3 linked regions of the Rattus norvegicus genome follow. The protein of the gene in region 2 purifies or fractionates together with the protein of the main gene of each other region. This does not show direct contact. Links are inferred from orthologs where the notes say so. Each region holds a gene or a part of one and is shown on either strand. Other genes may lie near its edges. The genes, in order: Imp4, Mphosph10 and Imp3.

What was found.
Region 1: the proteins of Mphosph10 (region 2) and Imp4 purify together in Homo sapiens (affinity purification with mass spectrometry; 3 studies listed by BioGRID and IntAct, with this or other methods). This does not show direct contact. The link is inferred for Rattus norvegicus from reciprocal best matches to the Homo sapiens genes MPHOSPH10 and IMP4.
Region 3: the proteins of Mphosph10 (region 2) and Imp3 purify together in Homo sapiens (affinity purification with mass spectrometry; 4 studies listed by BioGRID and IntAct, with this or other methods). This does not show direct contact. The link is inferred for Rattus norvegicus from reciprocal best matches to the Homo sapiens genes MPHOSPH10 and IMP3.

Annotation. Positions count from the first base shown.
Region 1 is NC_086027.1:44,148,505-44,152,889, reverse strand, and holds the start of Imp4 (U3 small nucleolar ribonucleoprotein protein IMP4), read right to left. Parts: upstream 2,862-4,385; 5' UTR 2,530-2,861; coding exon 2,527-2,529; intron 2,414-2,526; coding exon 2,305-2,413; intron 1-2,304. Other genes in the region: Ccdc115 (coiled-coil domain-containing protein 115), read left to right, coding at 3,091-3,201, 3,282-3,385, 3,517-3,599. UniProt on the Homo sapiens protein: Component of the 60-80S U3 small nucleolar ribonucleoprotein (U3 snoRNP). Required for the early cleavages during pre-18S ribosomal RNA processing. Part of the small subunit (SSU) processome, first precursor of the small eukaryotic ribosomal subunit.
Region 2 is NC_086019.1:127,373,046-127,377,228, forward strand, and holds the start of Mphosph10 (U3 small nucleolar ribonucleoprotein protein MPP10), read right to left. Parts: upstream 2,882-4,183; 5' UTR 2,838-2,881; coding exon 2,749-2,837; intron 981-2,748; coding exon 296-980; intron 1-295. Other genes in the region: Mcee (methylmalonyl-CoA epimerase, mitochondrial), read left to right, coding at 3,438-3,483. UniProt on the Homo sapiens protein: Component of the 60-80S U3 small nucleolar ribonucleoprotein (U3 snoRNP). Required for the early cleavages during pre-18S ribosomal RNA processing. Part of the small subunit (SSU) processome, first precursor of the small eukaryotic ribosomal subunit.
Region 3 is NC_086026.1:66,234,108-66,236,894, reverse strand, and holds Imp3 (U3 small nucleolar ribonucleoprotein protein IMP3), read right to left. Parts: upstream 1,398-2,787; 5' UTR 1,389-1,397; coding exon 834-1,388; 3' UTR 509-833; downstream 1-508. UniProt on the Homo sapiens protein: Component of the 60-80S U3 small nucleolar ribonucleoprotein (U3 snoRNP). Required for the early cleavages during pre-18S ribosomal RNA processing. Part of the small subunit (SSU) processome, first precursor of the small eukaryotic ribosomal subunit.

The sequences.
Region 1 (4,385 bases), on a different chromosome or scaffold from region 2:
TTCTTCCTTAACATTCTCAAAAGAGTCAGTACAGAAATACAGAAGGAACAAACCAACTACTTTAATTATTTCATTGGAGACATGGTCTTGAGAAGCCTGTTGCTTTGGCTTCTGAGTGTGTCGATAACAGGGTATGGCACCACACTTAGCTACCAACTTCTTTTCATCTAATTGTCAACTATAACGTCACTGGGGAGCTCACTTTCTAAATACTTCTTCATATCATCATCAATATTTTTATAACCAGACAAAAATTTAAAGAAACTTTGATAATGTACTGGTGGGCAGTTTGCTTGCAGGTTAAGACCCTGATTTATAAAGGGATCTGATATCTTCTTCTGGCATTCAGGTGAACATGCGATCGGAGTAGTCATACTTAAAAAAGAAAGAAACTGCTTCTTAAGTAGGAAGGGAGACCGTGACTTTCAGGTCTTCACATTGCATACTAAGGTCCTCTGCACGCCTTTGGTCCCAGCACTCGGGAGGCAAAGTCAGGGGATCTCTTAGTTTGAGGACAGTCTAGTCCGCATAGTGAGGCCACACAACTCTACATAGCGAGACCCTGCCTCAAAGAACAATTAACAACAATATAAAAAAAAGAGAACACTGCTGTCTGGATGTACAGAATACCTCAAGGTGCATGGCCGCAGCTGGCTGTGAGCCAGAGATTCTTTCTGTGGACTACAGTGGGACAGCCAGGGCTGAGGCCCAGATCTGCTTCTCTAGCATGTGAGCGAAGCAGGGAAGAGTCAGAGCAGCTGCACTCCTTCTAGCTACCAATTGAAGAAAAGCTCTTATCTGTCACAGGATACTTACAAGAATTTAAGTCCGACCATACCTTCTGCATCTTAGAAACGATACTGAGCCCCCAAACCCAACAGGCACAGCAGCCAAACACATACTCTAATATACATCCTTAGGCCTGTAACTCAAACATCATAACTTAGAGATATAAGTAAGCATAATGTAAACACAAATAATAGCTTAAAACAGTTGCTTTTAATGTAGCATTGGACATAGTGATAGTTATAAATGTTAATATACTCATCATCTTTCTGTATATGTGTGTGTCTGACTGAGTTACACGCACATGTGTCAGGAGCTGCTAAGGCCAGAGGACACTGGATCCCTTGGAGCTGGGATTACAGACAGTTGTGAGTCACTCTATATGGGTAGTGAGAATGAATTTGGATCCTCTCAAAGAACAGTAAGTGCTCTTAACCCTTGAGAAATTTCTTCCAGTCATCTCCACTCTTCTTTTCCACTTTTAAATTATGATGATGAGTCACAGACGCTTAACATCTTCTGTATCAGCCCAGGCTGATCTGGAACTCTACAGCCAAAGCAATCCTTGAACCTCTAACCTCCACCTTACCAGTGTTCCACTATAGGCATAGGCCCCTAGGCCCAGTTTAGTTAGGCTGGGGACAGAATCCAGAACCTCCTTCGTGCTAGGCAAGCACTCAAGCCGAGGTACAATTCTAGCCCTAACATTAAGTTTTACTCAAACAAACTTTACATAACACACATATACTCTATATTACTAAAACATAGGAACAGAATTTGGTCACCAGTACCAGGGACGATGTACTACCAGACGGGAGACTCAAAGCTCCTTGGATTCAAAGCCAAAATAGGGATAAATAGAACATTTCCACTTAAGCTCTGTCATATAGGGCCTTTATTTAATAGGGCAAATGAAAATGTGGATTAACGAAAGGCAAAGTTTTAAGCTAACTTGCAAAGCAAATGGCAAATTTTAAATGGAATAAGAGTTTTAAAATGCAAGACAATTATAACAATCAACAGATTTTTCTGTTTTGAAAGAAGACAGCAAGAACAAATACCAAGGATTCTTGTAGACCCATCCCTAGATATGGGAATCAATAAGACGAGACAAAGGTTTCTTGCTTGTTTTGCTTTTTAGTTTTTCGAGACAGGGATTCTGTTTTAGCTCTGGCTGTCTTGGAATTCACAGAGGTTGGCCTGTCTGCTTCCGGAGGTCTGGGATTGAAGCCGTGCGCCGCCACGAGCCCACTGAGGCAAAAGTCTTAAAACTAAAGAAAAACTTGATATTCTGTAACTAGCAATCAATCTGTAAACATGGGCGACTGCAGCATAAACGGCCATGCCATCACATGGTGGGTCCATTCAGAAACCAGTGAGAAGTCCTAACTAACAGGCAAAGAAAGGAAAGACGCTCAGCCGCACTAATATAAATACAAGAAGTTCAAACGCGTTTACACTTCTGTGCAGCATGCTCTAGCAAGGACTTGTAAACCCAAGAGCACAGGGAGGCCTTACCTTCTAGAGCACGCTTGACTCGCTCCTTCTTCTCCTGAACGGATCGCTGCGCCTCCTCCCGGGCCTTACGGTACAAGTACTCGCGGCGTAGGCGAGCCTCCCGACGAAGCTAGAGAATACATAGGGTCACCATCCACTCCGGAGCACCGAGGACCACAACTCAGCCCTCCCGTACCCCACTTCTTTCCCCCTAAACCAGAACACGAACTCAAACCATCCTACCATGATGAGCGTCGCTCTCTCACGAGTCCGGACTATTCGGTCGCTGACGGAACCTCGCAGCGACACTTCCGCCCTCAACTAGGAAGGCCTTTAGGGGCTTCACTCAATTCCACTGCCGTGCAGCTTGCCCCATCTTAAAATGGCGAATGGCGTCGCAAGGTGATTGGTCAGACCGACAACCAATCAATTACCCGAATTTGGGATGTCATGTGGCCTAAGGCCGCCCTGATAAATAAGTCCGTCCGTGGCTTCACCAACGCTTGAGCCAGTCAGGCAGTAGGCTAAGAAAAAGTAAGAGTGGCAACTGCGTGGATGGCTTCCTGGACTCGACTTTTCATAGCCATCTGATTCGAGAAATGTTCCGTTCCAGAAGCTAACCCTCATGCAGGCCGTTGACACGGGTCACCCGGAAGTTGAAACCTTTGACTTCCGGGCCACGATTAGGAACGCCTCCTAAGGGCGGATCTCGAGCGTTGATTGGCTGACATGCACATGGGCTCACAGTGATTAGAGGGCTCGGAAGGAAGTGGCTCTGCCCCTCCGCGTCCCAAGACTACCTGGACCATGGAGGTCCAGGCCCTGCGAGAGGAATTGGACTCAAAGTGCCTACAGCTGCTTAGTGACCTGGAGGAACTGGAGGCGAAGAGGGCCGCACTGAACGCCCGGGTGGAGGAGGTGGGCCATGGGGAATGGAGGGAGGGATAGAAAAGCGAGCACAGGGAGCGAAACAGTCTCAAGTCCTCCTGTCTCCCCAGGGTTGGCTTTCACTTGCCAAGGCTCGCTATGCCATGGGAGCCAAGTCGGTAGGGCCCCTGCAGTATGCCTCGCGTATGGAGCCTCAGGTCTGCGTGCGCGCCAGGTGAGGTTCCCCCCTCACCGTTCCCCCCCCCCCCCGCCCTCGTTTCCCTTCCCACCACCTCACCCCCATATAGAGTGGGCGGGCAGGACCTAGGCCTGCGCGGCCAGAGTTCATCTTCCCTTCTCTTTCAGCGAGGCCCAGGATGGACCCCAGACCTTCAGAGTGATCAAAGCTAACGCCCAGATCCCCGAGGAAGTGGGGCCTAGCGAAGCATGTGAGTTTCCTTTCCTCCTGTCAGCCCTTACTCTATGCTAAAGGCAAAACTCATTGAACATTTAAGGAAGTTACTTCATTAATGGAGAGCGCCTGAGCTGGAGAGTTGAATGTCTAAGGAAGACGTTTTTTTCTTTATACTTTGCTAGTGTAGGGTTCAAAGTAACAGGATAGGAGAGCGACCCGAGGAGGTCTAAGGGAATGGGGTTTATTCCAAGCCTTGATGTTACATGATTAGGTAAGAGGGTTAAGGGATGTTGGTGTTTAAGCTGATTGGTTCACAGCATCTGGTCAAACCACAAGAAGGGACTACACGTTCTAGAAGGAGCATCTTGACCTGGGAACGATTCCTATTTTCTTAGCCCGCCCTGTCATTACCGACTGGCCACAGCTGTTATGTCCGTTTTGCAACTGCCAAGAATATCTTGGGTTTTCTTTTTGGTTTGTTTGTTTGGTTGGTTTTGTTTGTTTGTTTGTTTGTTTTTTCAGAACTCAAGGTTAGAGACCAAGTCACTCTGAGGTCAAGTTAGCTTAAAATGGAGTCTGAAAAACAAAATGGAGTTTGTTTTGGTACTTTAATCCTTAAAGAAGAAGTTATAGGTAGGCTGTTTTATAGTGGGGTCTATTTTGCAGTCAAAGGAGCTCAGCTGAACAGAAAATGCATATCCCTATATCTAGGGGTTCCTTGGAAATAAACTTCTAAATCCAGTGCATCATTCCTGAAACAGATTGGGGACATTTCAGGGTCTTTCATCACATTTAGGTAAAATGGGCAAAGTCAGTCTGT
Region 2 (4,183 bases):
CCAAAAATAGTTGTTAGGGAAACTGGCAACTAGTTAACCACCATAGAAATCTAAGGACACCCAAAGCAAATGTAGCCCAGGCTGGTTTTGAGGAGACATCTTCTTGCCTCAGCCTCCCACTCCTGAGGCTTACTAGACTCCTGCACTACTGGCTCAGCTCTTAGTCCGATTCTTCACGTTTGCTCCTTTTTCCATACGTCACTTGGGGTCAAATAAGTTCGAGGCACATTAAATTTCTCCTTAGGAAAACATGACTTGTACTTTAAAGAAACAGTTTCTTCTCCCAAAACCTTACCTTAATCTTTTGCTTCCCAAATAGCCCTCCCTCATTTTCATCTGAATCAATGTCTTCAAAAAGGTCAATGTCTTCCTCTTCCTCCTCTTCACCATCAGGTGTTTTTTCCTCTTCTTTTTCCACTTTTTCTAAAAAGCTCTCCATTTCGGACAGTTTGAAGAACTTATCATCTACTACAGACTTTTCCCTTGGTTTTCTAGGTGGTTTGATCTGCATCTTGGTCTGCTGCTCCAACTTGCTAATATCAAAGTCAAGGTCAGAGTCCTCATCGCTGAAAGCAGGACTTTTCCTCGGGTCAGGTTTCCTTGAGCTTTTGGCTCTGTCACCCCCTTTAGGAACATGGCCGCCCTCGTCTGACAGTGGTTCATCCTCCAAGTCTGTCTCCACGTTCTCCTGGTTGTCAGCCTCCACCTCTGAGGCATCCTCTTCACACTCCTCATCCTCACACTCTGGGAGAAGGCTGAGATCTTCATCCTCAACCGCCTCACTAACCGCATCCTGGAAGTACTGTAAGACTGGTTCATTCTGCAGTTCTAGTTGTTGCCAAATCTGCTCATCATCAAAACTCTTTATCTCAAGTTTCTGCAAAGGACTTCCGGAGATCCGGCCATGCTCTAATATTTTATTAAAATCATACAGAACTTTTGTTAATGAAGTGAGGTTTGATGCTAGTCCATTTTGAATCCTATTAGGAAAGGAGATTAAGTGAGATGAATTATACACAATAACATCAAGCATTCTTAAATAAAAGAAGAAATAAAAGCCGTAACTTATTTACAAATTAAAATGTAAATGGACATCAGTTTTAAGTACAGATTCCTGTTCCCAACAGTATCTTGCTGATGAGTCCGACCGCAGTTATCTGATTTTGCTCTGTATATTAAAGGCTGGATCACTACTCCTCTGAAGTCAGCCTTAAATCCTCAAACCTGCATTACACACATTCTGCAATTATTAGTCATTTGGCAAGTGATTGCCACTTGGCTTTAAGTTTGAGGAAAATTCTCTAAGGATATGATAACCGAAATGGGATCTACAAATTGAGGCCTCCAGAAAAAACAGTGTCTAGTACAGATGTGGAAACACATATTCTGGTTATAAGAAATATTTAGAAGCAGAGAGATGAGTTCAGACAATGCGAAGAACAGAAAGACCAAGACAGCTGTAGTGTGGCTGAGGAGGCACAGTGGGTGGCTGAGGTTATAGAAACTGGGTTCTGAGATAGGAATTTGTCACTTAAAAGTGTAATATGTGATGATGATTTACAATTTGGAGAGAGAAAGAATGTTAAAGGTTGTTAGAAAGCTGATGCAAAGGATTTTTATGTCAGAGACACGGCAGAAGTATGACAATTAGGAATCAGTGTCTAAATATATTGTAGATAGGATTCTGAGGATGCTAAAGGGTTGGAGAAAGTACGGCAAAAAGGAAAGCATCAAGGAAGTAGACTAGTTGAATCTGAATAAATGAAATGATAGAACTGCCATTTAGTGGGGCAGTAAAAGTAAGCTAAGGTAATAGAAACGGGGAAATGACTTTAGGGGAGAGGAGAATACAGGAGGGGAGGGGAGGGGAGCTCTATTTTGGACACAATGATGTGATGCTATTGCTAAAATTTTCAATATAAGTCAGAGTCATAATTTTACAGAACTTAATCAAAATGCTGGGAAGAAAGAAGTCTCTCCTAATTTGTTTTTATTCTTTCATACAAAACATTCTAATTGCAGCCTCTTCTCCCTCCCCACCTCCCCCAGATCCACACTGCTCCTCGGTTTCCCTTCAAAAAAAGTAGGCTTCAACCGAACACAATCTCTCATATCAAGGTTAGACAAGGCAACCCAGAGGGGTAAAAGGGCCCCAAGAGTGAAAGAATCAGAAACGCCGCTATTCCACTGTTAGGAGTTCCACAAAAACCCCAAGCTAAACAACCACAACATATATGCAGAGGATCAACGCAGGTTCCGTGATAGCCAATAAAGTCTCTGTGGGGCCCTCCATAAACCCTGATTAGTTGATTAGGTGGGCCGTGTTCTTGTGGTGTCCTGGACCCCTATGCCTCCTACAGTCATTCCCCACCCCCCTTCCACAGGCTTCTCCGAGCTTCCTCTACTGCTTGGGTCTCTGCAAGCTCAGTTGTGAAAATACACTGAAAAGCAACAAGTACGTACTTTCAATAAAGCTCAATGACAGGTAAGCGGTGTGTATTTGGGGGACACAAATTCAGAAAGCGTATTCCGCACGCAATACGCTTCTCTGGACGCGAATTAACTGCACTTAGTTCAATAGTGCACAACTAGGAAATCTACACTGAACCGCTTTTACTGTTAAAAAACTGAAGTTGGGACTGAGCGACCTGTACTTCACTTCCTGGCTTTCAGAAGTTGACGGATGCCGGCCCGCCTAGCACCGATGTGATGCGGGTCGCTCTCTGCCAGAGTTGGATCTGCACTTACGTGAGGAAACACTCGGGTCGGTTGGTGGCTTTTCTGACTTCCCTCAGACACCGTTCAAGGGTCTGTCGACGAAACACGCGGGGCGCCATAGCTATACACTACGGCGCCACACGAGGGCTGGGAACCGGCCGGAAGTCGTACCGCAAACACTTGCCTCAAGCAACCTGCAGCTCAGAGCCTAAGGTTCCGCCACACACAGGTTCCGGCCCCTAGCAGCAAACGCTTCTATTGGGCATGCGTAGGGGTGGAGCCGACCACCGAAAAGGGCTATTGGTCATCTCAAGCGTCTTGGCTCTTTCTCCAAATGTTTTGTATTTCTAAGAGAACCGCAGTGGTGTCGCGTGGTCGCTTTCTGCTTTTGCATTCGATACAATAAGTATTTTAATGTAACGGAAAAGAAGGTCACCCTATGCGGCGTCCGCCACTGCCCCGTTTTTCCCACCCTCTGTAGCCGTCAGTCAAGCTCCGAGTCTTGTTACCCCGCCCCAGGCCCCAGGCCCCGCCCCTTGCTCTCTTTCCGCCCCCATCCCCAACCCCCTTCAGCCGTCTAGCTCTCTAAAGGGTATTGGGGCACTGCCTTCGAGCCCCACCCTTGTCCTGTTTTCCACGCCCACCTCAGGCCCCGCCCCCTGCCCACTCTCCTAGTTGTCTTTGCCCGGGGTCGCTGTGCAAGCTTGTAGCTTCAGGAGATGAGGCTGGTAGTGAAGGCCGCTGCGTTGGCTGCAGGCGCTACAGGTGAATACCGGGCACCATCAGGGGCGCCGGGTGCGGGGCACGGGAGGCTGCGGGAGGCCAAGGCCTGGGTCTGAAGTGTTGGGCTCCTGGAGCTGCGCTCCTTTTAGCACGGGAGTTCCTTATTGTCCTTCTCTGTGCTCAAGGGTTGCCCTTGGCAAACATGGACCAGACAGGTAATCTGCCTAAGAACACAGGCAAGGCAGGACTTGCAATAAAGCTGGAGGAGACTCGAGTTATTAAATGCCTCCTCTAAGAGATAGGAGAAAAGGGCAAAGTGGCAAGTCCTGAAAGTCTCAGTCCAAGCCAGTTTTATACACGTACCACACTCAATTTTTTCATCTGACATGAGCAGGAAAGGAGCAAGCAGAAGGATTTGTAAGTTCCTTGAGTTCTTTCGACCTCCATCTCATTAATCAAGAAGCAGAATCTTGGTGACAAATGCCCAACTTTTCTGCCTGTCTCACTTTCTCTTCCATTTTCTTCCCTTTCTGCATGGTGGCAGTTACTGCCCTCCGTCTGAGATTTTCAACTTGAAAGAAAGTGTAAGGCAGTATCATTCCAGAGTTCCTGTTACATTTGCGACAAATCCATTAGCCTGGAAAGTTCTGTCTGCTCCTCTATTGAAACTAGTCATCTTTCAAAGTCTGCTCTCAAACTGAATTTGGTTTTTGTGGAACCCTCCAGCCTTTCCAGCCAATCA
Region 3 (2,787 bases), on a different chromosome or scaffold from region 2:
TAACTCCTTAATGTAGACCAGGCTGGCCTCAAACTCAAAGATCTGTCTGCTTTAACCTTCCAACTGCTGGGTTTAAGGCTGTGCCAACACTACCCACCCCTTTTGCTCGTTTGTTTGTTTTTTTTTTGTTTGTTTGTTTTTTTTAGTAACTCTGAAGCCAGGACCTTGAAGAACATCTGTTTTCAGGAACCTCCTGGGTCCCTTCTAACCACTAGCTGGCCAAACTACAGGGCGATCATTTCCTTAGGCAAGCAAACACTCCAAGACTTTAATATGGTATTTCCTGGGGCTGAAATATCAACAGGAAGTCTTGTGGATAAAAGCTCTGCCAAAACATTCATTCCGAGAAAAGGACTGGGTAAGTGACAAATCTGCCCAGCGTGTACAACATCCTGCAGCCTCCACGTGAGGCTGCAGAGTCTCACGTCTACAACCCTTTTCCTCCTCTTAGGCTCTTCAGCTAGCGAGATCAACAGATATGGTAAGACGAAGGACCAGACCAAAATGTGCATTTAAACAACGTGGTCGGGACATTTATTGGCATTAGGAAAGGATTTCTTTAAATGGTATAAATAAAATGAACTCAAACTCTCCATCTGTTCTATTTCACGATGATAAAGCAAAGAAGGGAAGAGGTAACATTCCTGCTTCTACACCACAGTTTAAGGTACAAGAAGCTAACAGTCCCCAGAGCAGTAAAAACTGCTTCCCACTGTCTCTCAAGACACAGTCAATTGTCAGTCCAAATTCTAAGAAAATTTCCCGGAACACAGAGGCGATTCTCCCCATCCCCGGTTCAGTGACCTGTAGCTGAGAAACCAGGACAAGACTCGCTAGGCATCAAGATCAAAGTCATCGCGCTCCTCATTGTACTCCAACACGTGCCGCTTGATCTTGGATGAGTCCACCCAGGTGACAAAGTCTTCCATGCTGCGAGTGACGAGAAAGGCGGGATCGGTGACCACGTCTGGGCCCACGCGGACGTGACCCTGCTCCACAAAAGCCACAGCAGCCTGGAGATGCTGTGCCATGCGTAGCTTGAGGAGCAAAGTAGGCAAGCGGCGGCGGCAAAAGGACGAGGCGGAGACGGAGTCGCAGAGTTCTAGTGAGCCGCGCGTGGGCACCAGGCCCAGAGCGTACAACTTGTCCAACAGCGCCGCCGAGGCGCGAACGCGAAACGGGTCGCGTTCCGGCAGGTCGCGCAGGCGCCGCGCCAGCTCGCGCACGGCCCGGCTCAGCTGGTTGTAGCGTGTGTACTCCTCGCGCCGCTGGAGCCCGTACCGTCGCAGTACGCGCAGCTCGTGAAGGTTATGGTCGGTGACTTCCCAGTTTAGGAAGTCCACCTGTTTCAGCAGCTTCTGCTCATGGAACTTAAGCTTCCGCACCATGATGGAGAAAGCCCGAGAAGCTGAGAGCACGTTGAGAACCCAACGTAATTTCCGCCACGACAAGGGAAGACCCCCGCCTCCATGCTCCTGGACCAATCAAAAGAAATATTGAAGACACGCCCCCGACTTTTCATTCGTCCAAATCTGGAACTTCCTGTTTTGAAAGGGGAGTGGGGAGAAAGACTTGCGGAAGGAGAGGCGTGTTGGGCAAAGACAGCTTTATTAGCAGTCCGGTAGACTTTCTCTAGTGTTGTGTTTTTTTTTGTTTTGTTTTGTTTTTAAGATTTATTCATTGACGTATTTTATGTATGTGAGTGCTCGGTCTTCATGCACACCAAAAGAGAGCTTCAGATCCCATGTTTGTGAACCATCATGGGATTCCTCAGGACCTTTGAAAAAACAGTCAATTATTCTTTTTTTTTTTTTTTTTTTTTTTTTATTTTTTTTACAGTCAATTATTCTTAATGAGCCATCTTGGCAGCCCCTAGTCTGTCAGATTTCTGTCTTTGATGACCAAAGACAGTCTGCCCCCTCAATAGATGCAGATGTCAGTTCCCAGAGTGAGGAGTTATCGTCTTTAAAAGAATTGTCTCATATTTTTGGTTGTGAGCCAAACTTTTAATGGCTGAGCTATCTCTCGAACCCTGGAAAGATGGTTCAGCAATTAAGAGCACTGGCTGCTCTTCCAGAGGTCATTGAGTTCAGTTCCCATTACCCAGATGGTGGATCACAACCATCTATAATAAGATCCGATGCCCTCTTCTGGCATGCTCATGTACATGCAGCTAGAGCACTGATAAAAGAAATCTTTAAAAAAAAAAAAGAAAGAAAGAAAGAAAGAAAAAAAAAAGGGTACACAAAGTTAGAAAAGTAGAATGCTAATAAATTTTTAAAAAGAGGAGAGTATTGTCTCTGCCAAGAACGCGGTTAGAACTCTGCAAACGTCTCAGTTCCAGTGGTTCCTAGAGTTGAGGAATAGTTCCATCCCAGCCAGCATCAGGTCTGTCACTGGACTGGCAGAGGGATTCTTCTTGCCAAGTAATACTGAGCAATACCAAACAAATAATCAGAATTGGAAGCAGCTGTGCCTTTTACTTTTTTTGACACAGTTTCCTTAGGTAGCCCAGGTCAGCCACAAATTCACCACAATCCAACCAGCTTCGATCCAAATTAATGAGATTACAAGTGAGCATGAGCCACCTTGGCCATCATTTTATTTTATTTTATTTTATTTTATTTTATTTTATTTTATTTTATTTTTTATTGAGACAGGATGTCTTAGCACTAGTTGTCCTGGTAACTTTTATATAGACCAGACTGGCCTCAAACTCAAAGAGATCCATTTACCTCTGCCTCCCAAATGCTGGAGTTAAAGTGTTGCTCAGGTTGGTCTGGAGGT